Linked DNA regions of Elephas maximus indicus. The protein of the gene in region 4 purifies or fractionates together with the protein of the main gene of each other region. This does not show direct contact. Links are inferred from orthologs where the notes say so. Each region holds a gene or a part of one and is shown on either strand. Other genes may lie near its edges.

Evidence for each region.
Region 1: the proteins of CSNK2A2 (region 4) and EFCAB14 purify together in Homo sapiens (affinity purification with mass spectrometry; 4 studies listed by BioGRID and IntAct, with this or other methods). This does not show direct contact. The link is inferred for Elephas maximus indicus from reciprocal best matches to the Homo sapiens genes CSNK2A2 and EFCAB14.
Region 2: the proteins of CSNK2A2 (region 4) and GPATCH2 purify together in Homo sapiens (affinity purification with mass spectrometry; 6 studies listed by BioGRID and IntAct, counting the BioPlex papers as one, with this or other methods). This does not show direct contact. The link is inferred for Elephas maximus indicus from reciprocal best matches to the Homo sapiens genes CSNK2A2 and GPATCH2.
Region 3: the proteins of CSNK2A2 (region 4) and EIF3A purify together in Homo sapiens (affinity purification with mass spectrometry; 3 studies listed by BioGRID and IntAct, with this or other methods). This does not show direct contact. The link is inferred for Elephas maximus indicus from reciprocal best matches to the Homo sapiens genes CSNK2A2 and EIF3A.

The regions. Positions count from the first base shown.
Region 1 is NC_064821.1:89,340,791-89,348,426, reverse strand, and holds the start of EFCAB14 (EF-hand calcium-binding domain-containing protein 14), read left to right. Parts: upstream 1-4,627; 5' UTR 4,628-5,644; coding exon 5,645-5,826; intron 5,827-7,256; coding exon 7,257-7,405; intron 7,406-7,636.
Region 2 is NC_064842.1:6,778,474-6,786,186, reverse strand, and holds the start of GPATCH2 (G patch domain-containing protein 2), read left to right. Parts: upstream 1-4,701; 5' UTR 4,702-4,812; coding exon 4,813-4,868; intron 4,869-7,713. Other genes in the region: SPATA17 (spermatogenesis-associated protein 17), read right to left, coding at 4,353-4,420. UniProt on the Homo sapiens protein: Enhances the ATPase activity of DHX15 in vitro.
Region 3 is NC_064834.1:69,739,180-69,746,359, forward strand, and holds the start of EIF3A (eukaryotic translation initiation factor 3 subunit A), read right to left. Parts: upstream 3,020-7,180; 5' UTR 2,864-3,019; coding exon 2,815-2,863; intron 1-2,814. UniProt on the Homo sapiens protein: RNA-binding component of the eukaryotic translation initiation factor 3 (eIF-3) complex, which is required for several steps in the initiation of protein synthesis.
Region 4 is NC_064839.1:25,024,307-25,032,182, forward strand, and holds the start of CSNK2A2 (casein kinase II subunit alpha'), read right to left. Parts: upstream 3,005-7,876; 5' UTR 2,939-3,004; coding exon 2,835-2,938; intron 2,031-2,834; coding exon 1,919-2,030; intron 1-1,918.

The DNA.
Region 1 (7,636 bases), on a different chromosome or scaffold from region 4:
ACAAGGGGCCCTGCATTTTCATTTGTACTGGGCCCCACAAATTATGTAGCTGACCCTAGATACTATCATTACAACCATTTCACAAAAGTGGAAACGGAAGTTCAGAGAGGTTTAGTAATTCGCCCAAGATCACACAGCTGCCAAGTGTCAGAGTTCAGACATGAACTTGGATCTCAGATGAGACAGGATCCCATGATCTCAAAAAAAGAGCTTCAGCCCAGGAATTAGAAGACCTGGATCAAATTTCTGACTATAGCCCTGGGCAAGTTTGCTCCCACTCTGTGCCTCGGTTTCCTGAACAAAAGTACTCTGTGATATCTTCCAAGGTAGCACACGGTCTCAAGATGTGGCTTTGCCACTTAGACAGGCTATGACTTTGAGCACAGGGAAATCACCTTTGCCCACCTTCCGCACAGAGCTGATTTGGCAGATAATAGCACCCACTCTGCAAGACACTCTACAACATACAAAGCACTTGCATGCCCCTCCTAAGCAACAGTGAGCAGAAGGCTAGGCAAGAATGTCATTATCCCCATTTTACCTACAGGAAAGTTGGAGCACCAGAACTGGGAAGTGACTTGCTCAAGCTCACATAGGCCCCTTCTCTCTCCCTGATATATTCCACTGCATTTCAGGCAAGTTTGGAAAGATTAAGAGGACTCCACTGGCATAAGGTCATAATAAGAACACCCCCATATGAACATATGAGAAGATGGGTCACACCCTTGGAGAGTCCTGGGGCAGGGGGAGGGAGGGCTGGGCAACATGGGCCTCTCAGTGCAGGACCCCCAGCTCTGAGGGGCTTGGCTCAATCCCTGACCTTGAGGGTTCCAGGTCTGAGGGAGGAGGCCAGAGAGGTAACCAAGATCTCCTAAAAAAAGAGGAGGAACACCTGCCTAGCAACTTTCAAAGGGTGACTCAGTATCCTGTGAGATGTTTACCCAAGACAGGGTGGGATGGTATCTACACACCGATAGACAAACAGGCAGGCTGAGGAACTGAGGGACAGAACCAGCAGAAGCATCCCCTTAACTCTCGACTCTAGTCCTCAGCCTCCCCACCCACCAATAGTCCACTGGCCAGTCCTGGGAGAGGTCTCTAGCTGTGGAGAGGGCAGAGTCTGGCTAACCAGAAGCCATTGCAGCTGGGTGATGCATCCTTGGCCCTGCCTGGCTGCCCCGGGTTCCTCAGCCCCTGGTTCCTTCGGGGAAGATGTGGCATCTACACACAAGAGAGCCACAAGCCCAACCCAAACCTGGGGTTTCTCTACCAGTGGGACTGGCTGCCCTGGGCAGCCACCTCTTTTGCCTGGGGCTTCTGGTGACCACAAGATGTGTTTATATAGTGGTTCCTGAAGTCAGGGAACCGGGCAGAACAATCTGACCCAAAGGTTCTAGGTCCTCAGTCTCATGGGTCTTTGCACAGTTCACTTCCTCAATTCCTTCAGGCCTCTGATCAAATATAACCTTAACACAGAGACCCCACCCCCTTTTCTTTAGCCATCTCCTATCTCTCACCTGACACCATCCTCTCTCCTGTCCGTGCCCCGTCCTTACCAGAAGCTCTAGTACAGAGCTACCCAATAACACTTTCTGTGATGATAGAAATGTTCTTTTCTGTGCTGCCAATACGGTAGCCACTGACCACATATGGCTCTAGAGCATTTGAAATATGGCCACTGAGGAACTAAATTTAAATTTCTATTTAATTTTAATTAAGTGTAAATGTAAATTACCATGTGTGGCCAGTGGCTACTGTATAGACAGTGCAGCTGTAGAGACAAAAGAAGACAACAAAAACAGGACTGCACCATAATTTGGGGCTTCGAAAGCACTTACACAAGCATCTTCTTATTTGTCTGCCTGTAGAAATAGGTGTGTTTACTCCACTTTACAGAGAAAAAATACTGAGGCTCAGGGCAGTGAAATGGCTTCCAAGTTGACAGAGGTAGTAGGTAGTAGAGGCATAATCTAACCCCAGACCTCTTGATTCCAAAATGCCACTCATACCTCCATAGCACTCTGCCCACTTCCGTGTTGTTGTGTGCTATCGAGTGGATTCTGACTCATAACGACCCCACAGGACAGAGTAGAACTGCCCTATAGGGTTTCCTAGGCTGTAATCTTTACAGGAGCAGATCGCCAGGTCTTTCGTCCTGCAGAGCCACTGAGTAGGTTTGAACCACCCACCTTTCCATGAGCAACTAAGCACTTAACCACTATGCCACCAAAGCTCCTTCCCACTTAAGTAGTCATCACATATTTATTGGGTCATTGACACTAAGTACCTGCTCTGGGCTAGACAAGGTGAATTGACAAAAAGACATCTTGTCTGGTTAACTACAAGTCATTGTATCCTTGGCTCTGCCCCACTGCCCTGGGTTCCTGGTTATACATGTAAATATTATTGAATTGGCAGATGTTTTGTTATATATATTTTTACTACAATAAAAAAAATGTTTTAAGACAAATAAGATACAGGCCCAGGCTTTGAGTGGGAATTCCTAGGACAAAGTATAATTGCCCCCGTAAGAATATGGTATAAAAATTGCTTTGATTTTTTTCCAAGTAGCTGAAAGCACTTTGCTTTAAATACCATCTACATTTGATGGTTCCCATATTTACATTTGAGGTTCCAACTTCTGCCCAGAACCCCCAGCGTACATACCCAACAGCCTACTCCACATCACCCCTTGATTATCAAATTGGCTTCTCAAGCTTAACTGTTCACGACGAACTTTTAATTTCTCCCCATCCATACCAAACCAAAAACCCATTGCCATCAAGTGGATTCCGACTCAAAATAACCCTATGGGACAGAGTAGAACTGCCCCATAGGGTTTCCAAGACTGTAATTTTTTACAGAAGCAGACAGCCACATCTTTCTCCGGAGGAGTGGCTGGTGGATTCAAATTGCCAACTTTTCTGTTAGCAGCACAGCGCTTAACCTCTGTACTTAACTTTAAACCTGCTCATCTCCATCTCAGCAAGTGGCAATGCCATTCTTCTAGTTGCTCCTCCCCAAAACTTAGGTGTCATCTGTGACTCCTCTGTTTTTCATGCCTTTCATCTGATTTATCAGCAAATATTGTTAGCTCTACCTTCGAAAAGCATCCAGATCACTCACTACTGCCACTCTAGACTGTCATCGTGTCTAAACGGACTGTTGCAATAGCCTCCAGACTACTCTCCTTTGCCAGCCTCTCCACATTCAGTTTTTCATACAATAGTGAGAATGATCTTTTTAAAAACTAAACCAGAGCATGTTCCCCCTCAGTTTAAGCCCCACAATGGGCTCTCAAAGTCCTAACAGTAGTTCATAAGGCCCTACAAGAGCTGGCCCCTGATACTTCTCTGACTTCCTTTCCTAACACTCGGCTCTTTCAGGTCCAGCCACACCAGGTCTTCCTGGTCACCCCTTCCTGAGGGTCATTGCACAGTTCACTCCCTCACTTCCTTTGGATTTCTGATCAAATGTCCCCTTATTACAGGGCAGTCCCCATCCCCTTATCATGTTTTGATTTTCCCCATAATTAATTTTTTTTTGTTTGTTTTTAACGTTTAATAGAGGCCCTGGTGGTGCAGTGGCTAACAGATGGGCTGCTAACCAAGAGTTCAAATCCACCAGCTGCTCCTTGGAAACCCTATGGGGCAGTTCTACTCTGTCCTATGTAGGGTTGCTCTGAGTAGGAATCCACCCCACCGCAACGTTTGTTTTTTTTGACATTTATTATGTTTGCTTGTAGTTGCTCTCCTCCCTCCAGAGTTTAAACTGCAGGGATAGGGTTGGTGGAGAAAATACAGGGCGCCCACTTAATTTAAATTTCAGATAAACAATAAATAACTTTTTAGTGTATGTCCCAAACGTTGCATGAGCCAAAAAAAAAAAAAAAAAACCCACTGCTGTCGAGTAGATTCCGACTCATAGCGACCCTACAGGACAGAGTAGAACTGCCCCATAGTTTCCAAGGAGCGCCTGGCGGATTCGAACTGCAGACCTCTTGGTTAGCAGCTGTAGCACTTAACCACTACGCCACCAGGGTTTCCATGATCCATATTTATGCTTAAAAAAAAAATTGTTCGTTGTTTACCTGAAATTCAAACTTTACTGGGTGTCCTGTATTTTTATTTGCTTAATCCGGTAACCCTATGCAGAAAGACAGGGACAATGGTTGTTTCGTTCATTGCTGTATCCCCAGCGCTAAAATAGCTCCTGGCACCCAGTAAGCTCTCAATAAACATTTACGGAATGAAATGAATGTGTACAGTGTTTCGTTAATCTGAAACACGTCTAAACTTTCGGTAATAGCGAATCAGAAGGGTGGAGCCTCTAGCCTGGGTTAGCCCAGTTCACTAGTGAAGCAGTTGAGGAACTTTCGAAGCCTGCCAAGCAGCTGGATGTTTTCTTTACCCCGCCGCAGCTCTCCAGCGAACAAAACTCCGCCTAAGCTCTGGTGAGCCAAAGGTCCCAGGTGGCCCTCCCGGGGGCGGGGCCTCCTCTAACCGGTGAGCGGGGCCCAGACCTCGGCAGAGCCAGGGCCCCTTTAACGCCCCGCCTCCCCGCCACCACTCGGGCCCACGGGTGACGTCACCCGGAGGGAGACCAATGGGAGCGTGGCTTATTGGCAGGCGGCCCCAGAGGCTGCTGCCAAGGGGGAAGTAAGCCGGGGCTGGAGCGATGGCCCGGGTCTGGAGCCCGCGGCCGCCGCTGCCGCCACCAGCGCGTCGGGAGCAGCCGCGGCCCGAGTCGGGGCGGGGGTATGAGTCGCGGCTGCAGTGGGAGCGGTGCGTGTGAGTTGCCGAGAGTTGCCTGAGCCAGAACATCTCAAACTCTGGGCAGGAGCGCTTCAGGTGGGCTGAGCTGGGGTCACCCCTCAGCGCTGCGCCCCCCGGGCCCAGGCAGCAGGACTGGGTCTTCTCAGGCGCGGGACTGGCCCTTCTCAGGCCGAATCCCGGAGCCGGGCTCTGGGTCTTCCTCTCGTGGGCTCCCTTCAAACTCGGGACGGGGGCCGGGGAACAGTGAACACCCTAGACCAGGGCTTCCTGGCCCAGGCATTTTTCCGGCGCTTTCCAGGGCTGTGTCGGGGTGGCAGCCTCTAGAAGCCCCCTCCTGCCAGTTGTCCAGCCAGAGAGGGGTTACGCGCTCCTACTGTCTTCCTCTGCACTCCCCTCTGTGCTCATCAAAAACAAGCTTCTTTTTTCTCTCTATTGGAAATCCTACACTGTAGCTCCAAAACACTACCGGTGTGCCCTTCCCCAGCTCCTAGAGCACCCTTAGAAATACTACGGGCTTATCAGGGCTGAGAATCAGTCTTGATTTAGCTTTTCCTCTCTTTGGGAGATAAAAAGTTACTCTCTTTCCAGCCTTTTAACTAATTGATCTAGGGCCTTAACCATTTGGATCACCAGCTTCCTGGCTTCCCCTATGTGACTTACCCCACCTATCTGAGTTCCAGTTTTCTCTGGGCTCCAACTTCCAGTCCCTAGCGGATCTAGTCAGTCCCACCCCTGGGTGGGAGTGACTAGGGGGCTCCAGCCCAGAGTTCCCCACCCTGGAAGGCAGCTCCAAGGCACCCAGAGAATTGGGCGTAGGGTACGAACCTGGCAGCTCAGGAGTGGGTGCTCCACTCACCCCCCACAAGAAGATGAAAAAGCGCAAAGAACTCAATGCATTGATCGGCCTAGCTGGGGACAGCCGAAGAAAGAAGCCCAAGAAAGGCTCGGGCCACCGCCTGCTTCGCACTGAGCCACCTGACTCAGACTCTGAGTCCAGTTCTGAGGAAGAAGAGGAATTCGGTGTAGTTGGAAATCGCTCTCGCTTTGTCAAGTGAGTGAGGGGTGGGATGGGAAGAAGACATCTTTGCACTACCAAGGGGCAAATTTAAGAGAAGAAAAAAGGATATAAACCTTAGAAGGCAAAGAGGGAGAAAAGGTGTTAGGTAGAAGACAAGTACAGATCCTGAATGAGGGATAGATTAGGGATCTGTCTGTAAGTGTGAAAAGCTCAGAATCTAGGGTGAATGTGTGGACTTGGGGGATATGCCAAGAGCACAGGAAGTGCACGGTGGGAGAAGACATGCTAAGAACAGAGACATAGGGACAGAGGAGCTTTGGGGATAGGGTCTCTAAAAAAGAATGCAGGAGAGACGGGGACATTCAGACTGCGTATTACTTATTTTTTGCACTCCTAATGAACCTGAATCTTGGTAATGGGGAAATAGGATGCAGGACATAGTGTAAGAAGTATGAGCCCTGAGAGTAGATGAAGCGTGGGGACAAAAAGAAGAGGCAGCTTTTTCCTAAAACACTTTTAGATGGAGTGGCCACTGGACAAATCAAGTAGTAGTGAGCTTTAAGGACATTGGGAATGGGGCTTAGGGTATGAAAGAGCTGAAGGGGAGCTTTGAAAGTACCCTTGGACCCTTTCAGGGAGCAAGCAAGGACTAGGCAGAAGCTTGAGGTGCTAAAATCTTTTGTTTGAGGTATTTTTTTTGTTTAGAATGTCTGTTCTTTTATTTTGTTAAACAAAGAATTTGCTTTCTAAAGAGTTCTGTCAAGTTAGGTAGTTAAGGACCATCCTGGGTTTGGAGTGTGAAAGGCTGAGGAAGCATTAATCCTGAAAGTCACCCTACTGGATTAGTTCAGACCCTGAGTGCGGGTTGAAGTTTGGTGTGAAATCCAGCCCCTTTCTATGTTTCCTCTTTCTGAGCCAATAAGCTAGAGTGTATCAGATGTCCACTTAAACCAATAGATCGTATTTCTTTCATTCCATTTGCAGTAAAACTTGCTCAAAAGTTTGTGTAGTTTCAGTAAACTGAAACAGGGTCCCCTGGAATAAAGGCATGTGTGTCTGAGAAAGTGAAACAAATGGATGTAGGTAAATTACAGTACAGAGAAGCAATAGTCTTTACACTTTTCTGACCTGAGCGTCTCTCCAAAGACCCCCCTCCTGAATTTATGATGATGGCCATGAGCTGCAGTGCCCACAGGTGCTTCCTGTGGCCCACAGGAACTCCTGTTCCATGTGCAGTTTGAAACCTTTGTACTCGATAGATGAACTCTTCGTAGGTCGTATTATTTAGTCACGTTCAACCTGCAGTTCAGACTTAAGTGCATTACCCTATGCCCCACAGTAAGATTTAAAAAAAAAAAAAGATTAGGGAAGATAATTGCACGGCAACACATGCATACTATTTCTAATAAAGCTGCACTCGGAATCACTTCTGTACTCATAGTTGTATCTGTTCTTACAATCAGGGGAGACTATTTACGATGCTGCAAGATCTGTTATCCCCTCTGTGCTTTTGTCATCCTCGCGGCCTGTGTCGTGGCCTGCGTTGGCTTGGTGTGGATGCAAGTTGCTCTCAAGGAGGATCTGGATGCCCTCAAGGAAAAATTTAGAACAAGTAAGTGGTTACTCTTGCAGAGTGTAATCTTGGAATCTTTTCCAGGTCCTAGGATAAAGTGGACCAAATTGAATTAAATAAGCATTTCACCTAGTCTGATGAAGCAATTATATGTTGCTTCCATGTTTTTATACACTTTCTTAGCTGCCAGTTTGAATGCTTAACAGTTATTTGTTTTTAAACCCTCTAACAAAAAACAGTGCTTACGCACCATCAGGACAAATCACATCT
Region 2 (7,713 bases), on a different chromosome or scaffold from region 4:
GTAGATGAGGCATCTAATGGGGGTTTCTTCCTTGGTAAATAACTTTTTTTTCTTTTCTGTCTAGAGTAGGAGTTTGTAAGATTGCTTTCTATATCGTTAAAATTCAGGACTTTCACCGATAATATCTAAGAAGTGTGTTTTTGAAAAAAACAACTAAAAGGGCACACCAGCTCAGGGGCAAGGACTAGAAGGCAGGAGGGGACAGGAAAGCTGATAACAGGGAACCTAAGGTTGAAAAGGGAGAGCGTCGACATGTTGTGGGGTTAGTAACCAATGTCAGAAAAACAATATGAGTACTATCTGTTTAATGAGAAGCTAGTTTGTTCTGTAAACCTTCATCTAAAGTACAAACAAGAAACTGCCTAGGACACAGTGAGCCCTTTACAGTCACATTCACAATTCTTTCTTTAGGAAAGTTTTCTTCTAGTATTTCTTTAATTATTATTTATGTATCAATTCCCCACCTCAACTCCAGTTTCCGTAGTGACAATTATTTACATACCAAGTATTTTCTTCTGTTAGACATAGGGTCACTGTAAGTTGAAACCAACTAGACAGCACCTAACAACAACAAGTCTCCTGGGGAGCCCTGGTGGCGCAGTGGTTAAGAGCTTGGCTGCTAACCAATGCCTTCAATGCAGCTTGGACTTCTTCCTTCAGTACCGTCAGTTCCTGATCACATGCTACCCCTTGAAATGGCTGAATGTCGACTAATTATTTTTGGTATAATGACTCTGTGTATTCCTTCTATCTTCTTTTGACGCTTCCTGCGTCATTTAGTATTTTCCCCATAGAATCCTTCACTATTTCAACTCGAGGTTTGAATTTTTTTCTTCAGTTCTTTCAGCTTGAGAAACACTGAGCGTGTTCTTCCCTTTTGGTTTTCTATCTCAAGCTCTTTGCACATGTCATTATAATTCTTTACTTTGTCTTGAGATGCCCTTCGAAATCTTCTATTTAGTTCTTTTACTTCATCATTTCTTTCTTTTCCTTTACCTGCTCGATGTTCGAGAGCAAGTTTCAGAGTCTCTTCTGACATCCATCTTGGTCTTTTCTTTCTTTCCTGTCTTTTCAATGACCTCTTGCTTTCTTCATGTCTGATGTACTTGATATCATCCACAACTCATCTGGTCTTCGGTCGTTAGTGTTCAACGCATCAAATCTATTCTTGAGATGATCTCTAAATTCAGGTGGGAAATACCCAAGGTCATATTTTGGCTCTTGTGGACTTCCTCTGATTTTCTTCAGGTTCACCTTGAACCTGAACAATTCATGGTCACATCCATTGTTGGCCCCTGGCCTTGTTCTGACTGATGATATTGAGCTTTTCCATCCTCTCTTTCCACTGATGTACTCGATTTGATTCCTGTGTGTTCCATCTGGTGAGGTCCATGTGTATAGCTGCCATTTATGTCTGTGAAAAAAGGTATTTGCAATGAAGAAGTCGTTGGTCTTGCAAGATTCTATCATTCAATCACCGGCACTGTTTCTATCACCAAGGCCATATCTTCCAACTACTGATCCTTCTTTGTTTCCAACTTTTATATTCCAGTCACCAGTAACTATCATGCATCCTGATTGCATGTTTGATCAATTTCAGACTGCAGAAGCTGGTAAAAATCTTCAGTTTCTTCATCTTTGGCCTTAGGTTGGTGCGTAAATTTGAATAGTAGTTGTATTAACTGGTCTTCCTTGTAGGCATATGGGCATTATCCTGTCACTGACAGCATTGTACTTCAGGATAGATCTTGAAATGTTCTTTTTGACAGTGAATGCAACACCATTCCTCTTCAAGTTGTCATTTCTGGCAGAGTAGATAATATGATTGTCTGATTCGAAATGGCCAATACCAGTCCATTTCAGCTCACTAATGCCTAGGACATCGATGTTTATGTGTTCCATTTCATTTTTGATGATTTCTAATTTTCCTAGATTCATAATTCGTACATTCCATGTTCCAGATATTAATGGATGTTTGCAGGTGCTTCTTCTCATTTTGAGTCATGCCACATAAGCAAATGAAGGTCCCGAAAGCTTTACTCCACCCACATCATTAAGGTCAACTCTACTTTGAGGAAGCAGCTCTTCCCCAGTTGTCTTTCGAGTGCCTTCCAACCTCAGGGGCTCATCTTCCAGCACTATATCAGACAGTGTTCCACCGTTATTCATAAGGTTTTCACTGGCTAATTCTTTGCAGAAGTAGAGTGCTGGGTCCTTCTTCCTAGTCTGTCTTAGTCTGGAAGCTCAGCTGAAACCTGTCCTCCCTGGGTGACCCTGTTGGTATCTGAATACTGTTGGTATAGCTTTCAGCATCACAGCAACATGCAAGCCCCCATAGTATGACAAACTGTCAGACACGTGGGGAAAGAGCAGGTTGGACCTTATGTGTATGATCCACCTACTTCCATGCAGTCTTAATGATTTAAAGTCCCACTACCCCAAGCATGGAAACCCTCATGGTGTAGTGGTTAAGAGCTATAGCTACTAACCAAAAGAGTTTGAATCCACCAGGTGGTCCTTGGAAACCCTATGGGACAGTTCTACTCTGTCCACTCTACGACAACGGGTTTGTTACCCCAAGCATAAGCTTTGGCCCGAGATAGACAAATGTCACTGGTTTTTTAATCTTTGACAAGTAATTTAGATTTTCTAAATTTTGCTTTTCTCAGCTGTAGGGTACGACTAATAAAAATCACCTCATAAGATTCATGTGAATATCAGTTAAAACAATGTTTGTGAAATTACTTAATAGTGCCTAGCACATAATAGGCATTCAATAAAATTTCTCTTTCTACTCCCGTCTCTCTATCCCCATGCCATCCACATGTCCCATAGCAGGTGGTGAGAGATCGGGGAGCTTGGGATTTGGATACTTGGTCCCTATAGTATGTCTCTGCAGAACTTCTAGCTCTCTTCCTTAGCCACTGCTTTCTTGATTTTTCTCCTACATACACCTTCCTCTGTAGCTGAGCCAATTAAAAAAGAATTTGGCATACACTAGACTAATTTATGCTCACATATCTTTAAAAAGTTATATATGGTTTCTATGGACTGAGTTATTGTGCCCCAAGTTTGTCTTGGAAGAAGTGCAGCCCGAACGCTCCTTAGAAGTGAAGCTGGTGAGACTCTGTCTCACATACGTTGGACATGTTATTAGGAGGGACCAGTCCTTGGAGAAGGGCATCATGCTCGGTAGAGGGTCAGTGAAAGAGAGGAATATCCTCAAAGAGACGGATTGACACAGTTGCTGCAATGATGGTCTCCAGCATAGCAATGATTGTGAGGATGGGGCAGGACTGATGTTTCGTTCTGTTGTACATAGGGTTATTATGATTCTGTACTGACTTAACAGCACTTAAACACAAATTATTGTGCACTGTTATGTGTTAGGAACTGTGACAGACACTGGAGATTGAAAGAATGGTGAGCAAACAGTAGACATTGCTTCTACTTCTAGTTTAAGAGGGGCGATAGATATTAATCTAATGATCTCACAATAGAACGTAAAATGGAATTCTGATACATGGTATAAAACAGAGGTACAAGGTGCCTAAAAGAATAAATACTAGAATTTTAAAGGTCAATCCTTTCTTACTGACATGTTTTCCAATGGTCTTCCACGTCATTATATTCTATAATTGTCTAATTAATTTTTTTGATGTTTCTTTGTAAGTTGGACAAAACTCCTGGGACATTGCTTCCAAAAGACCCTTATTAATATTAACCTGTAACTGGGTGAAAAGTTTGGGTGTAGAGAGATGGAGAAGGCTGCTAGTGTTGTCCTTAGGATTTTCCTATTAATTAATACATTGGAACTAAGTATTTTATCAGAATGGTTTAGATACTTCAACTTTAAGAAGATAAATGAGGGCTGGCTCTGAGCAAATGAGTGGTAGAAAAGTTGAGTTCAAAGAAGCTTGTGAACTAATGGCGGTCCCAATCCCTAGACAGATAGAGGCTACACGGAACTCAAAGCTAGGGTGCATGGATGACCCCAGTCAGTATATTAAATCTTCAGCAGGAGGGATGGTGGTTTCATCAAACCGGGGAGGGATAATGTCAAAGTAAAACACTTCACTTTACAATTTTATCTATGTTGGGAGTTTACTTAAACCATCTCAACTTAAATGTTCACGGCCCCTCGTTAGGTGCAGTCCGCCTGAAAGGCAACACTACTTTTGAACTCTTGGTAATGCATAAAAAAAAAAATGCATACAGGCGACAAATTAAGGGGAGAAATGGGTGACAAGTACTGAATTAGGGAGTTTGTTAATAGGAAACTCCTCCGGAGAGACAATGGGCTAGGGTCACTCCAGCCCTTCGTCCAGTCCGATCCTTCAATTGCGACCTACCTGTTCAAAAAGTAGTATTGGTTTCCGATAGCCGCCGACCGTCCTTGCAGGCGAGCTAACGTGGCCATAGCGCCTCGGCTCCGGGTTTATACCTGGTGTTACTACCGGTCTCTATGGCAACGGGGTAAACCATTAGGCCAGTCCCGGGGGTTCAACTTTTCTTTCACGCCTCTGCTTTTTCACTTTTTTTAGGCTTCAAAAACACTATAAAGATCACTAATAGCTTTATGTGAAGGACAAGGTTTAATTTAACTGCTCGCGTGTCTTCTGTGGGCAACACGGGGCGGTGGAGCCGAGGGGAGGAGAAGTAATGGTTGCTCCGAGCATCCGGCTTCCGCTGCCGCCGCTTCCGGAAGCCGCTCCGAAAATGCGCCGCTGCCCCCCGCGAGTCGCCGGCGCTGCGGCGGTTGGAGCCTGCTCTCGGGCCTGAGCCTCCAGGCCGGGCCCCCGGGTGTCGTTAATGTTCGGGGCCGCCGGGCGCCAGCCGATCGGAGCTCCGCCCGCCGGGGACAGCTGGTGAGGCTGGCGGCCCCGGGGCGGGCGAGGAGCGGGCGCGCTGGCCGGAGGCCGCCGACCCGGCCTGGCGGGGAGGGAGTGGCCGTGGGCGACCTGGAGTCGCGGGCCTGTCCCCACCCGCGCCCGCGCCCGCCCAGCTGGAGGCAGGCGTCCAGGCGTGGGCTCCGGGCTGGCGAAGGAGTACAGTCCATGCTTGTCCTGCTCGATGAGCACCCTGCGCTGCTTAGGGGCGAGGTTCCTCTCTCCGTGGGGTGTGCAGCACCTGGGCAGGAGAAGTGTGAACCCCTCGAGCTGGCCGTGTTCGCCCGCTCCCCCTTTAACACGGACCAGGTCGGGCCCGGTATCCTGGGCGATCAAGTCTGGAAGAGTTCTGGACGTTTAGTAGTGCGAGACATCGCCCTCTCATGTCCTTGTTTTGGGAAGGGGTCATCTACCTGTGTCCACCCCCTTAAACCAACCATTCCAGTTCACATGTGATGTCTCTGGGTGTTCCCGAAACTTTAAAACACACGAATATCAGAATTATGTTTGGGGTTTGACTTCATCTATGATATCACATCATCAGTGCCGCTTCAACATGATACATTGCTTTGACTTACCACAGTGCTTTCACAAATTAATACACGTTATCTTTACAGCGACCCTGAGATAGCAGGTTGTCACAGGCGCAGAATACTTCAGTCATTGGCATAAAGTTTCCCTGTGTACTTTATTGTCCTAGAGCTAGAAGCTGGTTTGGGGATTTCTAGTTGAAAACTGTGATGTTGCCTGTCTTATTTTTTTCCACCCCCTTTTCCTCCAAGCGTACACAAGACAAACAGTGAAACACAAGCAGATTTCCCACTGACAATCCTCTGACATAATGCTTTGACTAGCAGTTGAAAGGTGGGCTAAAAAGTTCATATCCACTCCTGGACTCCACAGAAACAGAGGGTGGGGAGAATTCTAGCAGTCTGCAGCCTCAATTTCTTTTGCTTCACCTATCACTGAAAAGTCAAAAGGATTTCTTGCCCCAAATATTTGGAAATGGATCAGATCATCCTGCATTTATTTTATGATGCGTATGGATTCGGTTATGTTCCTTTAAAAAAAGTTTTTCAATGCATAGTTCTTAAGTGTTTAGTTTGGTTAGTTTTGGCAGTTCTATATACTTGCGTATAAATCACCATACAAAGCAAGATATAGGATATAATCACCCAGGAGATTTCCCTCTTTAGGACACCTTTCTTGATGTTTCACCATTCAATATCTTGTTAAGAGAAGGAGACAAAATGTGCTTTGTAGCTGGGTCTTCTCTTGCTGTGGTGGTTTTGGTTTGACGCAGCTTCCTCTCCCTCCCTCAGCTGCTACCCTCTATACCTCTTTTAGAGTGTAGAGAAACACTTCTTCGGTCCTCTTTTTAAAAGCCTGTCCCCTTTCCTTTTCAGCATACAACTCATATTGGGGCCCCAGAATGTAACATGGTACCTAGTACTTTATCAGCGTTTTCGAATGAAACTCTTAAAATCATATCTACTTTGGCAGGGTGAATGTGTTTACTGGAATCTTTATTTTTTTAGTTTATTTGCACAACTGTCCATTCATTCAAAATTTGTTAATGAAATTCTTTTTCATTCATTGAGCATTTACTATACCATACATGTATGTTTCTTCCCAGTGGTAAAATCCCAGCACCAATGGGGATGTTACTACTTAGTACTTGGTGCCAGGTTTTACATCCTTATATTATGTAAATCTTTTGAGGTAGGTGCTATCATTATTTGTATTTTACAGATGGCGAAACCAGCCAAGGATGGTTTAAATAACACAAAAAAAGTGTCATATTTGCAGTATGATTCCGGTATGGTATACCTACAAAAAATTCTTAACCACTGTTGTATACTGTGTGTCGGAGTAATGTACAACCCATCAAGAAATAACACCCTAGAAAGCAAATGTCCAGATTTGTAAACTGACACGGAGTACCCCCATCTAGGCTTCTTCAAATTTTTCTCCAGCGTGGAGGATAGGTTTTCACATTTTAGGCACCAAATGAGTAAATGTAGATGATTTTATTTCTTATTTGAAAAATCAAAACTGGTATTTTATAGTTAAGAATCTAAGAAAGAAAAATATTATGCAATTAAATTATAAAAATCTCATAGTATGTCAGGAAATCAATATATTTTCTGTGTAAGTTAATCTTATATATGGTTCACATTATGTTTTTATTAAGAAAATGTTATGGTTTGGAGAGTGTCTGTACCTCCTTCCTATCTTCTCACTCACACGCATTTTAAGGCAGGGTGCGGAAAGTATCTGTCTTGGTACTTCAGACATTAACCTGCCTTTTAAAATTTGGCGCATTTAATGTACAAATCACATCTAGAATTTAGATACTCGGTTCCTTATTACCTTTTACTTTATTATGGGTTTATTTTTCAAGTCAGTTTCTGATTTCTTTGACTTTGAAGTCTCAACTAAACAAATTAAAAACAATAGTCCTTGGTTATGAAAATGTTGAAACATTGACGTATTGAATTGTAGTATTCTGTGTATTTAACATTCTTAAGTGGCTTTTTTTTTTTAAAAAGCCGCTGAAAGTAGGGTAAACCACATTGCTCTGGACCTCTGTTTTTGCAGTTTCATTCTTATTTGGTATTTCAGTTTTCTTTAGGTCTGGAAGGCTGGTAATTGAAAAACATCCATTTTTTTAAGTAGCTTTTTTTGTTGTCATCATTCAATTTTGTACTGTTGGGATTGCTTGAGTCAAGTTTCTGTTTCAACGATTAGGACTCAAACCAAAGACCGGTATGAGCTGGGGCAAGTTACTCATTCATCTTTGTACAGCTTCTTAAATAGCATC
Region 3 (7,180 bases), on a different chromosome or scaffold from region 4:
AATCACAATAATCCATGATTTGAGTCTTCTGTCTTTATCCTAATTGACATATAAGGAGATTAAATTGGTCAGAATTATCTAATTAGAAGGAAAGAAAAGTTTTTGAGGCCAGAAAAAAACTATCATACATACACTAAAGACCCTATTCCAATATTTTTAGGAAACACTGATTTCCAGATTGATAGTCTTCAAACAAAAAAATTTAAATCTGGAATTACAGTTTATTAGTTTTTTTTTACTGGGACTGTGGGCATTCTGATTTACCTTTCAGATACAATAACTGAAACTATGTATCCATAAGAAAAAAAGTATAGGTAAGCCAGCCATTCTCATCTATTAGTTTACGAATAGTGCAACAGACAAAGTAAATAAGCTATAACATTACTCTATTTGTGGCTTTATAACAACTTTATCATTTTTTAAATCACTGGTTGTAGGGTACAAACTAAAAGGTTTTTATAGGGTCAGGAGCAGCTCTTCAGCAATACTAAGGATATAATCTAGAAAAGGAGCTTTCTTCATTTTATTGTGGAGTATGAGTTTGCTGTAACTGCTGAGCCAAATTCTCCTCTTCCTGAATGATTACTGTAACTTTTTAATGAAATATTGCTTTGATATACAGACTTAAACAGGCTTTAAGGACTATTCTACTTAAGTTTGTATTTTATTAAGATAGTGCAATAATTTGGGCCTAAATGCTTGGAGTTACAAATGTTATAGATTTAAAAAAAAAAATTTCATAAAATTATTTCCACTGAATGAAATGTACTTTTATAAGCCCATTTTAAAGTTTTATAAGCAGTGCCTTATGATTTCTTCACCCACAATGTGCTCACCTTGAGACTTTGAAAAGGAAACCCTCATTCACAAGATCAAAGGGACAGGAGTTACCACTTGGAAGGTAAAAAAAAAAAAAAGAATCTCTTCCACAGAAATCTCCTTCCCGCAGCTTAAAAAAGCTGCGGAAAGGAGTCAATACAGATTTTAAAAAACAAAAGCTACACAAATATCCTTTTCTCATCTTGCCTACTTTAATTCTGGACACTCTCCCCAACTTGCTGTACAAGTCCTTTTCAAAAGCAGTCAATAGAACAAGATTTTACATAAATTATATAGCTCTCCTAACTTAAAAGTTACTAAAATATTAAATTCATAAGATTCAAAGAGGAGGAATAATGCAGATGTCCTGAACACACCAAATGTGTCATATTTAAGCCATTAAGATTACAGTGCTTCAATCTATCAGCCTGTGGAGAACACCTGCTGGTAAAGCACACAAAAAAAGTACTGTAAAACAAATCTACAACAGCAACGTCGAGCAGTAATTTCATCTAAGTAATTCTGTATGCCATACAAATTTTTTATGTCCTTCTGAATTTCAAAACACCAAAAAAAAAAAAATTCAAGCTTTGCTACAATTTTGTAGTGCTAAGTTTTAACTTAAATCTACTTTACCTCCTATAAATTGACATCTTTAAACTCCATGCCTGTTCTAACGATTAGGCCGCTGGTTAAAACGACCACTAGTCAGATTCAAATTGTAGTTTTTTTTTTTTTAAACAAATATTTTATTTTATAGTCTGTGGGATTAGCCTATTAACAAACAAGCATGTGACCGACACAAATCTGTCTTGACAGATTATCTATCAGTAGGTATCAGTGTTACCTATTAACTGAAACTGACCTTTTTACCTGATGCATTTCCAAACAAACTCATGAAACTGTAAGAAACACGGAATAGCCATGGACACGATCGGAAGCTTGTCTGGGTGGAGAAAAGTGGAAATAAACCCTACGGACGCCCGAACGCCTAAAAATTAATTAACCCTACACAGGAACTTTCTTAAAAGAGCAGAGACGTGCATAAATACATATGCACCCCCATAATGGCAACGTAAATGCTTCCTGACTAGATGGAGACTTGAACTCCGGAAAAGAAAATTAATTTCGGGACACACACAAGTTTTCCCGCAAGCGGCCGCGGCTAAATTACACGTATGAAAACAGAACTCGCCAGGCAGCAGAGCTTTGGAGAAAAAGGGACTGGTCTGGACGTCAAGAGACCTTGGTTTTCTTCTCCTGGCTCAACAACTAAGTCCTGGAGCTTCCTTGGGCCAACCATCCTCTCTCCCTAGGCCTCAGGACGCAGTCTGTAAGCGAGGACGTGAACCCTTTAACAGTACTGACTCTGTTCCAACTTCCTGCGATTCCGAAGTTTGGGACTGGCCCTAATCTTCACCTGGAAGCTAGAACCAGGTTAAGTAGGTCAGACGCCCCGAGTCGGGAAGAAAGTGGCCGGGGGAAGCTAAGTGGACCGCGCCCCAGCGCAGTCCGCCGCGGGGTCTGGGAGCAGCCGAGTCTGAGGGAGGGCCGGAGGTGGCACCGCCAGGCCCCCGGCGCCGGCGGGAGGTGGAGCCGGGGCTCTCGCGTGCATTGTCCCCGGGAGGGAGCCATGTTTCCTCCGGCCCGGCACTCCCAGATGGCGGCCGGGGGCGCGGGCTGAGGCGCACGGAGCCCGCCGCAGGCGACGCGGGGAAGGAAGTCGAGCCCGAGTGGGGCCCGTCTCCGGGAGCGCGGTGTCCGCGGAGCAGCCGGAGGGGGCGCCGAAGGGCCCCGGAGCGACGGTTCCCGGCTCCGCGCCTCCCACCCCCGGTCGGTTGGCTCGAGAAGAGGACACCCTGCCCGGGCGCGGCGGTGTCGGTGGCGGGCAGGCCGCGTCGGCCTCGTCTCCGGCCGCAGCCCGGGCGGAGCAGCGGGAAGCAGGCCCGGTTCTTCGACCTCCGAGGCCTCGGGCCGCCCCAATTCCCTACTCACCGTTAGCGCGTTTGAGGGCATTTTCCGGCCTCTGGAAGTAGGCCGGCATCTTGGCGGCAGGCTCAGCTCACCCGGCCTCAGCGAACTCCGTAGCGGCCCGGGGCCGGGAGCGGAGACGAAGGGGAACCAGCGCAGGGCTCCACGCGCCTCGCCAGCAGTCGCCCGCGCCCAGCCGGCCAGAGACGGAAAGGAAGAAGCCACGTGACCCCGAAGCGGCGCCGCCGCGGTCGCCCAGGCCCCGGATGTAGGGGCGGGCCTCGGTGCGCGCGCCGCACCTCCCCGCGCGCAGGCGCGCTGGCGTCACGCGCGTCCGCTGACGTGGCTGTGGCCGCGTCCTCCGCGCGCGCTGGGAGTCGAGGCCGGCGGGCTCCGGCGCTACCTCCGGACTTCGCAGAGTGGCGTTAGGCACCTGCTTCAGGTCCCTTCCCTCTCCTTGAGCGAGAATCGGGGTGGGAAAGGTGAAATTTGGGTCAGAGTTTCTGCCTGGCGAAAAGGCAGGCGTCTGCACAGATTGATTTTTAACGTCATTTCTGCAGTCATACAAAGTTAAAATAAATAAGGCTCCCTGCGGCCAGGGAATGGGTTCTCTTAGCTCAATGAAATGCTAAATTTAATTCGTTTAACCGGGATGTATTGAGCTACTGACCCCTGGGAAGTGATACGGCCCTGCCCCGTGAGGAACAAGCACGGGGAAGGGAGGACGCAATAAGTAAGCAAATAAGCAAGATTATTTCATATCTTGGTAGAATAAAAAAGTCGGAGTCACCTCGATTTGAGGTGAGACCTGAAGGATGGGAAGGGTCTATGGACAGAGCGATCTGGCAGAGAGCAAAAGCCTTGGAACAGAACAAATTTGCATAATGTCTGCAAATACAGGGGAGGGTGGTCGCTATTACCGAGCGCACGTCACAAACGAATGTAAGAAAGCGAGTGTTAGTGAAAAAAATCCATTTATAACAGGCTCTCTGCTACAGTCTTTTACTATTGATTAACACTTTTAGTGTTCCAAAATTAATTAGCGTACCTAGAATTTGAGAGACGTTTAAATAGAATCTAATTTCTCAAGCCGTTGGTATGAAATTGAGCTGAGTTCAGAAGGCAAATTCAGAAAGCAGCAGTGGAATAAATTAATATAAACTTATTACACATTTTGTAAGCTGGGATATGTGAACTAATGAGGGGGTACTACCTTAATGAGGAAACCACAGTACATACACGAAAAACATTTCCCCCACAATCCTTCTGCCTCAGCTAAGAGGTCTTTTAATTTATGACCATAAAGAAAACTGGAAAATCCAGACATGGACAAAAAAATTAATTTAAAAAAAAGTTATTTTAAAATTAACTTCAGAGAGTTCTTCCTCTTATGGAATGCTTAAACTACTCTATGTAGCTGAGCTTACTCCCAAAAAAATGTGACCCACCAAGGGTTGATACAAAACGAACAAGTACTAAGCTACAGGAACAGTTTTATGGCGCAAGATCAAGAGACTCATTTGTGAATGTAATAATTAAGTCAAAATTAAAGAGATAAACATAAGAGCAAATCTTCCTTTAAAGCACTGTAGATAGAAAATTATTTAGTAGTCAATAAAGAGATGCAAAAGAATTAAATAAAAGGAAACCTGTCTAAATGTCAGAAAAAGAAAAAGCTTTCCAAGATTCTTACCTTTCCATTATCGTCTCTCAAAGAAAATGGCAAAATGAACTTGTTAATTATTACTCATTGTTTGGTAGACCTACAACAAGCCAAACACTAGAAAAACAGGAGGTAAAATGAAATCCAGCATCTTTACATCGCTGATCCTTTTCCCTGTAAAATTATTTAAAGTATGTGAAGCATTTGGTAATAAAATAGCTATGTTAAGTGCATTAAATAGACTTATTTAGAATCTAGCACCATATTTTTGAAAGAGTAAAGGTATAATGTCAACTTTCAGGATGAATTTGCCTATTAAATTCGATTGCAGGTACTCAGTACCAGTACAGGCATAACGTTAAATCCAATTGCCGTTGAGTCAAACCTGTTTGTGGTGACCCCATCTGTGTCAGACTAGAACTGAGCTCATATGGCTTTCAATGGCTGATTTTGGAAGTAGACTGCTAGGCTTTTCTTCCAAGGCACCTCTGAGTGGACTCTAACCTCCAACATTTCAGTTAGCAGTGTCCCACCATTAACGATTTTCACCACCCAGGGACTCTTGGGTTAAATGCAGGGGATAAAGAAATGTATGATACCTGCTTTCAAGATGTTAATGGTGGCTGGGGTGGATAAAGGACACAATGAGAGACAATATAGGGTCTAATCTGAGCTAGGTTGTTGTTGTTAGTTGCCATGGAGTCAATTCTGATTCATGGCGACCCCATGTGTGCAGAGTAGAACTGCTCCATAGGATTTTCAAAGTTGCGATCTTTCAAAAGTATATCACCAGACATGTTTTTTGAGGCACCTCCAGGTGGATTTGAACAGCCAACCTTTTGGCTAGTAGTTGAGCACCTAACCATTTACACCACACAGGGACACATAACCTGGGCCAGGGATGAAGCATAATTACTTGTCGTTGATTAATGCTTGCTTAGTAGAAAACAGGTAATCTGAATATGATAAAATCCAAACCAAACCCACTGCCATCAAGTCAATTCCAGCTCATACCAACCCCATGGGGTTTCCAAGGTTATAAATCTTTATGAAAGCAGACTGCCGCATTTTTCTCCTGTGGACCAACTGGTAGGTTCAAACTGCCGACCTTTCGGTGAGCAGCGAGCGCTTTAACCACTGTGCCCCCCAGGGCTCCTTAGCAAGTGGTAGGTAAAAGGAAGCAATCGGGATGATGAAGGTTTTTTTCTAATTAAGCTACTTTTATACTATATATGACTGGATAAGTTATCTAATAAAATATTTTGGGTTTTTTTTTTTTCCAGTTTGAGTGGAGTGAGGGAGATTCACACACACACACAAAAGAGCTGTTAAGGACACACGAGAGGCATTGCATTATACGTATTTGTAACATAATATCTTACAGCTTGAAAACAAGTATCACTTTTAAGAAAAAACAGAAACAAGTGTTGGCCAGTCTGTGGAGAAATTGGAACCCTCATCCATTGCTGGTAGATTTGTAAAATGATGTAGTCACTGTGGAAAGCAGTTTGGTGGTTCTTTAAAAAGTTAACCATTGAATTACCATAAGACCCAGCAATTCCACTCCTAGGCATATACCCAAAAGAACTGAAAGCAGGAATGCAAACGCATACTTATACACAAGAGCCAAAAGGTAGAAACAACCTAAATGTCCATCAACAAATGAGTGGATAAACAAAATGTGGTACATACATACAATAGAATATTATTCAACCATAAAGAAAAATGAAGCCCTGACACATGCTACTACATGGTCAAAATAAGTCAGTCACAAAACAACAAATATTGTATGATCCCACTTACATGAAATATCTAGAATTTGGCAAATGTAGAGACCAAAGTTCATTAGTGGTTACCATATGCGGGGAGAGGGAAGGGGGAAGTCATTGCTTGGGAGACACTGAGTTTCTCTTAAGGGTGAGGGAAAAAGTTGGAAACAGCATACTGATGGTTGTACAACGTGATGAACGTAATTAATGTCGTTGAATTGTATGTGTAAAAAAGGTTGAAATGACAAAGATTTTGTTTTATATATTTTTACCACACAAAGTATCACTTTTTACAATGTACGAAGTGCTTTCACATTCATCGGGTTATTTACAAGAACGCTGTGATGAAGGTATATATGTACCTTCAGAGAGACAGGCTAAGGTCCACAGTTACCAGCTGCATATGATGTCCCAGGTCCAGAGACTGGTACAGGGCTTACAGCACTGAACAGGGCAGGCTTAGTTCCTGCCTTCATGGACTTTGCAGTCCAAAGGTAAGACAGACCTCAAACAGGTGGTTCATGAGAACAGAGACACCACTGCCATCCAGGCTCCCATCATCCCTTGTCCCAACTCAAACAGCCCCCTAACTGTCCTCACTGCCTCTACCCTGGTCTTCCTGCAATTCTTTCTCCATGTCAAAGCTTTCAGGTTTCTTTGTATAAGCCTTCCTCCAGGATTCTTCCCTGCCCCCCAAATTATTCTGTCTTAGCACTGGTCAGATTCCCCTGCACTTATGTGCAGACTGTAAGCTCAAAGAGGAAAAGGGCCACGTTTGTGTTGCTCACCCCAATGCCTGGCAGACGGGAGGCTCTCCAAAAATGCTGGAGGGATGAATGAATCCCCATATAAAGATTTATTCAAGCCCTGTATAAAGGTTTATAGGGGAAGCAGTGAGTTTCTTTTACGGTGATGGGAAATTTGATATTGATTAAGGCTAATGGTTGCACGACATGAT
Region 4 (7,876 bases):
ATTTGAGCATCAAGGGGGCCTGCCTCCCAAGTTTTACTCCAGAAGACTCTGCCCAGTGTTAAGACCCTACAAACCAGTGCTAAAGAGAACAGTAAGAGACAGGAAAAGATAGGGAACAGGAGCTTGAGTGAAGGGTCATTTCAACATAATGATGTTAGAAAAGTTTCTTTGTGCCTAGGCTGCCCATTTGTAAAAATAACCTATAGCTTCCATACTGGGTTCCCTAAACATATCCTGAAAATATTTAGAGCAGGGGAAAAACAATCCAGCAACTGGCCCTATGAAGTTCTTTAGAAGGCCGACAGAAGAGCAATGTAATGCTGTCCTAAATGAACACACCGGTATTTACACTTACACCTGACTGCTATTTCTTTCAAAAGGACACCATGGGAGGTTGCGTGCTTATGCTAAAAGTGCTGTCACTGCATAAAAGTTTAGACATTTTTCTAGAATTGCCTTAGAGTCAGCAGTTTACTCTCCTGAATGTATAGTAGTGGAATGTGAAAATTTCTAATTTCAATTTATGTCCTGCTTACTTCCTAGAAAGATGTGAAGCAGCTTTTATTAAAAACATTTAGGCTTATCTACATAAAGGAATAAACTATATGGCTTCCCAGATGACCCCTCTGGGGAAAATTTTATTTGTTTTAAAAAAAAAAAAAAAAAAAGGACCCGTGACTTTTTAGGTGAAGCCCATATTTAGGGAAGAGGCAAGTCCAACTACACACCTTTAACATCAACTTGTCGCCAGTGTTTCTGACAACACAAATAACTGCCTATTTCTCTCTACTGCTATTCTGCTCCTTCATCACCAGACTAGGATGGTTCCGAGTGATGGAGCCAAACGCTTTGCCGAGAGGTGATTTTCAGACACCATGAGTCTGACCCCTCCTATTCAACAGGGACTATCTACACAGCTGGGCTACCACTACCCTTAAGACAGATTTTTAATCTCACATTCTTATTCGACAAAACCTTTGCAAAATGATCATACTGGAAATTACATGTATGTAAAGTGTTTATGTTACCCTTGAGTCTTCTGAATCTTTCACTAAATGGTATGTACAGGTATTAAATGACCTGACCATAATGTGGGCCCATCACAGATCTTAAGAGTTACTTTTCAGTGCACCCTGTAAAACATTATTAAAGCTACACAACTGATCACATACCTAAAGGAAAGTTTAGACAATGCTTCACGCTCATTAAGATAATGTCTTCATTCATGAGATAACAAAATGTGTATCGTTATCAAACTTATGCCACTAAACCAGATCTTAAGACCATTTTGTTCCAATTATCATCTCAGTGATTACAAATACACTCTCCTATGCTCCAAATTTCATTTTTACTAGCTAACACACAACGATGAACCTTTTCGGCATAACTGGCTCACCATTTCCACCCCACCTGAAACTTTACCACTAAAGTAGAAGAAACACTTGACTACCCACTGAGGCGTTTCCCTTCACTTGAGCTTCAAACTCATCTTTGAAGTGGCTCCAATTTTTTCCAGTGTTCTTTCTGGAATAACTCAGAGCACCAAGGGTGACAAAAAGCTCCAGCTGCCCTTGGATTGATGGGTGCCTCATGAAAAAGGTTTTCTTTCCTCTGAACATCCATTTACTTCGTAATAAATGGAGTCCCTTTGGAATTTTTTGCTTTGGGAGCCCATAATTTAAATTTCAGATCAAGGATGGTTCCTAAACTATCATGTTTAGATTTGAGATCAGTCTGCATATTTTCTTGGAAATTCACAGGAAAATGGGATGGAAGGAATAGTGAGGGACATCGGACAAAAAATGATATGCAAAATGAGAGCCAGCACTGCTTATTCTAGGATGTGACTGCAGTGGCTAGCTATCCTTTTGACCTGTGGAAAAAAAAGTATTTTTAACGCCCCTCATAATACACTCACCTTGAGAATTTTTACAACCACTCTCTCATTGTTGGTGATGTTAATGGCCTCAAATACTTCACTATACTTTCCCCGACCAAGTTTTCGAACCAGTTGGTAATCATCTTGATTACTGTGAAAGGCAAAAGACACACATAAATGCCAGGACTTGGGTTAACCAAGCCTACGTCCACTATACACTTCATCCAGCCTCTTCCGTTAATCAAGCACTTGGAAGTGTCTATACATCACATCACGACACATCCCTAAATGAAAGCCACAACATAGACCTGGCTCCCTTCACTCTGCACAGAGCTCCTAACTAGTCCCTGATAACTTGGGGGGATGAGGGAGGAAGGCACCGCTCTGAGCCAGTCTGGCGGGAGACCAAAGCATCCATCCTGGAGGACCACAAGGTGCCCCTCTAGCCCTGGCTCCCTCGCTCCTGCTTCATTTCACACCCTCAAGGTAGACAGCGCCTACTTTGAGAATCTGGACGTCCTTAAAAATTTTTCTCTCACCCATCTATCTCCATTTCAGGAAAAAACGAAAAAAGCAGAGAATTTTAATAGCTCAGGGGGACAGCTGTTTAGTTCCAACCCCAGCAGAAACCCAAAGGTGCGAGGAGGAAGGGCTGCCCCCTCACTTCCATAGGCTCTAGCCCCTGCACCCTGTACTTCTCCCCAGGAAGAAAGCATTCCTTGGAGAAGGCAGACGGGTTCTTCGCAAAGGTGGGAAAAAAGGGAGAGTCGGAAACGGGGACAAGGACATGCGTGAGAGGAGGCACGCTGCTCCCACCCCAGACCCGAGAAGAGCTGGCCCAGGAGAGGGGCAGGCGGAGCGGCGAATCGCCGGGGGACGAGTGCGGTCCCCGCTAGAGGGAGCCGGGCGGGAGAGGGGGAGCCAGGGGGCCGGCGAGGGACGGCGGCGGCTTTACCCCCAGCTCGGGACGTGCGCCTCATAGTCCCAGTACTCGCGGCTCCTCAGGCTGTTCACCTCGGCGTAGACCCGGGCCCTGCTGCCCGCGGCCGGGCCGGGCATGGCGGGCGGGACCGGGGGGCGCCGCTGGGCGCAGAGAGCAGCGGCGGCGGCGCGGCAGGGGGCGCGGGGCGGCGGGCGGAGGCGGCGGCTGGCCGCGGGGCGCCGGAGGAGGAGGAGGAGCGCGGCGGCGGTGGCGACGGGCGGCCGCGCCAGGCCGGGCCCGCGGGGGCGGACGGGCTGGGGGCGCGGGGGGCGCCGGCCTGGCCGGCCCGGCCCAGGAGCGGCCGGCGGGGTGGCTGGGCGGGCGGCGCTCGCGCTCCGCAGCGGCCTCGGTTCGGCTGGTGGCCCCAAGGTGGCGGCAGCAGCGACGGTAGCAACAGCAGCGGCAGCCGCCGGCCGGGAAAGGGGCAGCGGCGGCGGCGAAGAAGGAGGAGAGGAGGAGGAAACCCGGAAAAGGGGCCGCGCTCGCTAGGAGCGACCGCCGCCGGGCCAGGCACCGCCCGGGCTCACAGCGCCCCCTGCAGCGCGGGGGGACCCGCCGGGCGGCGCCGGCCCCGCCCCCGGCTACCCGCCGCCCCCCTCCCGGGTCCAAATCGCCCCATGCTCAGGTGTCCTGACGCGCTTACCCCAGGACGTTCCCCACCCACGGACTGCTGCCCTGGAGCCTTCGGACCCTTTCAAAATTGTCCTGGAGACCCTTACCGCAAGCCCTCACCCTCTAGTCACCCAGAGTTTCCCCACCTCAAGGCCTCCTATACTTGACCCTATTCTTACCCTCCTGTCACCCAAACTGTTCCCATAAAGTCTCTCCCCAGTGACTCCTTCTCCCCACCCAGAACTTCCCCCCACCCCAAGGTCACTTCATCTCCCCCAGAGGACCCACTCCCCCTCTGGACCCTGCACTGTCACCCGCAGACCTAGTGTCTCTTCATCCAAAGCCTTCCTCACAAGACCTTTCTCATACACTTTTCCCCCAGTTCCCTTCCAGAACTTTCCCTGAACACCCTCTGAATGGTTACTTTGGTCACTTGGTTGAGCTGGTGCCTGCCAGGTTACTCCACTGTAAAGTTACTATTTTCCCCTATGTAATTAATAAGTGATTTGTGGGGAGATAGTTTGAGACTGTGAAGATACCTGTTTTAGTTTGGGAGGAGGGAGAGCAAGAAAAGGTGTGAGGGTCTGACCTGAAGGGACAGGCCAGGGGTTTAGGATGACTGAGGATGGATCAAACAAACTTTGGCCTATTTTATTCTGTTGCCTCCTACCTCGGAACCCTCCTTTCTCTTTGATCTTCTGGGCCTTCTGTCTTGCTATGCCATCCCATGTCTTCTATCACAGAACCTCCTCACCCAGCCAAAGCTGTTCTGACTCCAACCCCTTTTCACATTCTGTTTTCCAGGTGAGACACTGCTCGCTACTCTGTGGTATAGTTAAGAGCACAGACTGTGGAGTCAGATCAATACAAGTTTGAATCCCAGTTCTGCTACTTAAAAGCTCTGTGACCTTGGGCCAATTACTATGTTGCAGAGTTGACAGCACAAAGCCAACAAGAGCACTTACTTTACAGGGCCATGGGAAGAATTAAATTAAACCTTGTAAAACATTTAGATCAGTGTCTGGTAGATACTAAGTGCTCAGTAAGGGTGTTATTGTTGTTAGCTGCCTTCAAGTTGGCCTCCAAGTTATGGCGGCCCCACGTACAATAGAACAAAATGCTGCCCAGTCCTGCCCCATCCCCAGAATTTGTTTTGAATTAGACCATTGTGATCCATAGGGCTTTTTTGGGCTGATTTTAAGAAGTAAATCACCAGGCCTGTCTTACTAGTCCATCTTAGCCTGAAAGCTTTGTTGAAACCTGTTTGGCATCATGGCAATATGTAACCTTCCAATGACAGGCAGGTGGGGGCTGCACATGAGTGCATTAGCCAGGTATCAAACCCTGGTCTCCTGAATGACAGGCAAAAATTCTACCACTAAACCACCCCTGCTACCATTCAATTAGGATTTTTTTTTTAAAAAAAGCCCAAACCCATTGCCGTCAAGTCGATTCTGACTCATAGCCACTAATTACTCAGTATCATTATTTCCAGTCCCAGGGTCTTTCTTCTCTCAGTTTTTCCTCCCTAAGACCACCACACGCCCATCTTTTAGTTCCTTCCACCCTCCAAGATTGGCCAGGGGCCACCTCTACCCCCCTTGACCCCTGCCTTCCCTTGACTGGATCTTTTTTCCTCTTCAAGTCTCACCTTAAAGACTACTTTATCTAGAGATGATACTTCTCTATATCCACATCCTCCAGAAAACTGCATATTTAATTAATTTATTTCCTAGCTTATTGTCTGTCTCCTTCACTGTCCAAACAGCAGGGGAGCAAGGACTGCGTCTGTATGCTCACGGCTGGCATACCCAGTGTCTGCCACAGTTGAAGGTTGTCACGAATACAATGTTACCCCATAGATTACTTAGGAATTACAATAGGGAACCAGGAGGTCACTACCTTAACTGTGGACCAAACTAACATCATCAAAAATAGAACCAACTGACCCTCTGGTGTGATGTACCAGAAGGAACACGAATCACCCATGTATTACTCCTGCCAAAAATGTTGACCTAAATCTAATTACCAGAACACAATCAGACAAATCCAAACTAAGGGACATTCTGCAAAGCAACTGGCCTGGACTCTTCAAAAACATCAATGTCACAGGGGGGAAAAAAAAACCCTGGAGTAGCATTCTTGATTGAAGGAGACTGAGAGACTTAACTAGAAGTAGGTTTGATTCTGAATTACATACTGGATAAAAGTAGGGGGCGGGAGGGAGGGAGGAAGGAAGGGAGAATACAGCTAAAAAGGCACTATTGGCACTACTGGGGAAATTTGAGTACAGGATATAGTGCTGTCATTGGATGCTGTTGAGCCAATCTTGACTCATAGTGACTCCATGTGACAGAGTATGCTACATAATAATATTGTATCAAGGCTGAATTTTGTGAGTGTGACAATTGTGCATATACAGACAAATCCCTTGATCTTAGGTGTTATATGCCAAGTGTTTAGGGATGAAGTATCGTAATACCTGCAACTTACTCTCAAATGGTTCTCCAAAAAAAACATGGATCTCTGAGAGTGGAGGCATAAGCACAAGGGGGCAGGAACAGAACTGGGGAGAAATGAAAATAATTGGTGAGTGTGCAGATAAGAGTACAGGGCCTTTCAACTTGTTGATAGACTTGAAAATTTTCAAAATAAAAACTGGAAGAAAATAGAGCATTTATTAAATAAGTGTTGTCAGGTATCGTCGAGTCGATTCTGACTCATTAAAAAAAAAAAAAAAAAAACCCGTCGCCGTCGAGTTGATTCCAACTCAAGGCGACCCTATATGACAGTAGAACTGCCCCATAAGGGTTTCTTGGCTGTAAGGCAGCAGAACACCAGGTCTTTCTCCCTCGAAGCCACTGGGTGGGTTTGAACTGCTAACTTTTAGGTTAGCAGCCAATCGCTAAACCGTTGTGCCACCAGGGCTCCTTAGGAAATAAGTAGACTTTGGAATTTAATTCGCAAACATGCAAACATTCTTAAATTTCTCTTGAATAAGATGGCACAAACATTTTCATACCGGTAACGCAGTCTTAGGATTTTTTTCTGACAAGTCCCTATGAACTAGTCTAGATCAGAGGTTCTTAATCTTCAGCTCCTGAATGAGCTTCTGTGTGTGCATTCTTTCCTTAGCATCGATCAGATTCTCAAAGGAGGCCATGACCCAAAAATGGTTCCCAACCACAGGTTTAACTACTATGCTCAGTCCAGCTGGGGCCCCATCCCTCGCCTCCACCCTCGCCCACCTCTGACCCCACCCCTCCTCCCTGCACCTTCCTCTCATTCCTCACCACCTAATCCACACCCATGTCACATAACTTGCTCCCACACCTGCCAAGATACCTGAGATTTCACCCACACACCACTCTGGTGCAACACACTCCTGGATTTGGCTAACGCTCACTAACTCACCCTGAAATCAGCAGGCAGCCCTCCCACGGCCAAGTGGAATATGTTTTTATGGTTTGTTAGTAAGTAGGTTGGGTGCTCCATGGAACTGGTGGAGACACACTGCCTCTCCTTCCTGCCTGCCTGATGTGCAGCCAGTTTGGCCAGAGCTAGGATGGTCAATTGGCAGTGGTAACAAGGCAACCCTTGCCGACGGTGGGGGGTGGGGGGTAGGGGGGGAGAGCTGGCTGTCCTGCAGGGCAGGGAACTCAGGGGACCAGAACTGACTTCCCCCAAATACTCTGTGTCGGGTATGGGGGTGCACATAATTCAGGATTACACAACAGGGAATAAAAGAGGACATCTTGGGTCAAATAGCTCAACAATTTCATACTAACACCTGTTCTCCCAATTCTATCCAAACACTGAACAAATAGAAACAAAAAACCCTCAATCAGAATACCTTGTATCTTCGTAAGATCTATTTCCAAAAGGTTTGACAGGCTCACAGGCTTTGACCCTGTATTACTGCTTCTTAGGAATATAAGAAAATAATGTAACTTATAAACAAAAAATTAATAGCGATGGCAATTTGTGTGCTTACGGTATGTCTGGTGTGCCAGGTTCTTCCTGACACCAAGACCTTGGATCCTACAAAAACCCTATGAGGCTAAAACCCATGGAATTTTACAATTTACATGGGTGAGTTGTATGGTATGTGAATTACATCTCAATGATGCTGTTATTAAAAAATGCTATGAGGTCAGAGCTGTTGAACGGATCTTCTTTTTGCCAGTGAAACAACCAAGGCTCCAGTGATGCTAATAACTTGAGGCAGAGCCTGAAATTGAACTCAGGTCTTTCTGACAACAACCGAGTCCATTTTCCTAACCCCTTTCTGATTCAGTATATCTCCTAAAAGGCCCAAAGATGTCCATCACAAAAATCATCGTTTTTACTCGTGAAAAATGTGAAGCAAATGAAACATCCCAGACCGAGGGTCTGGTTAAGTA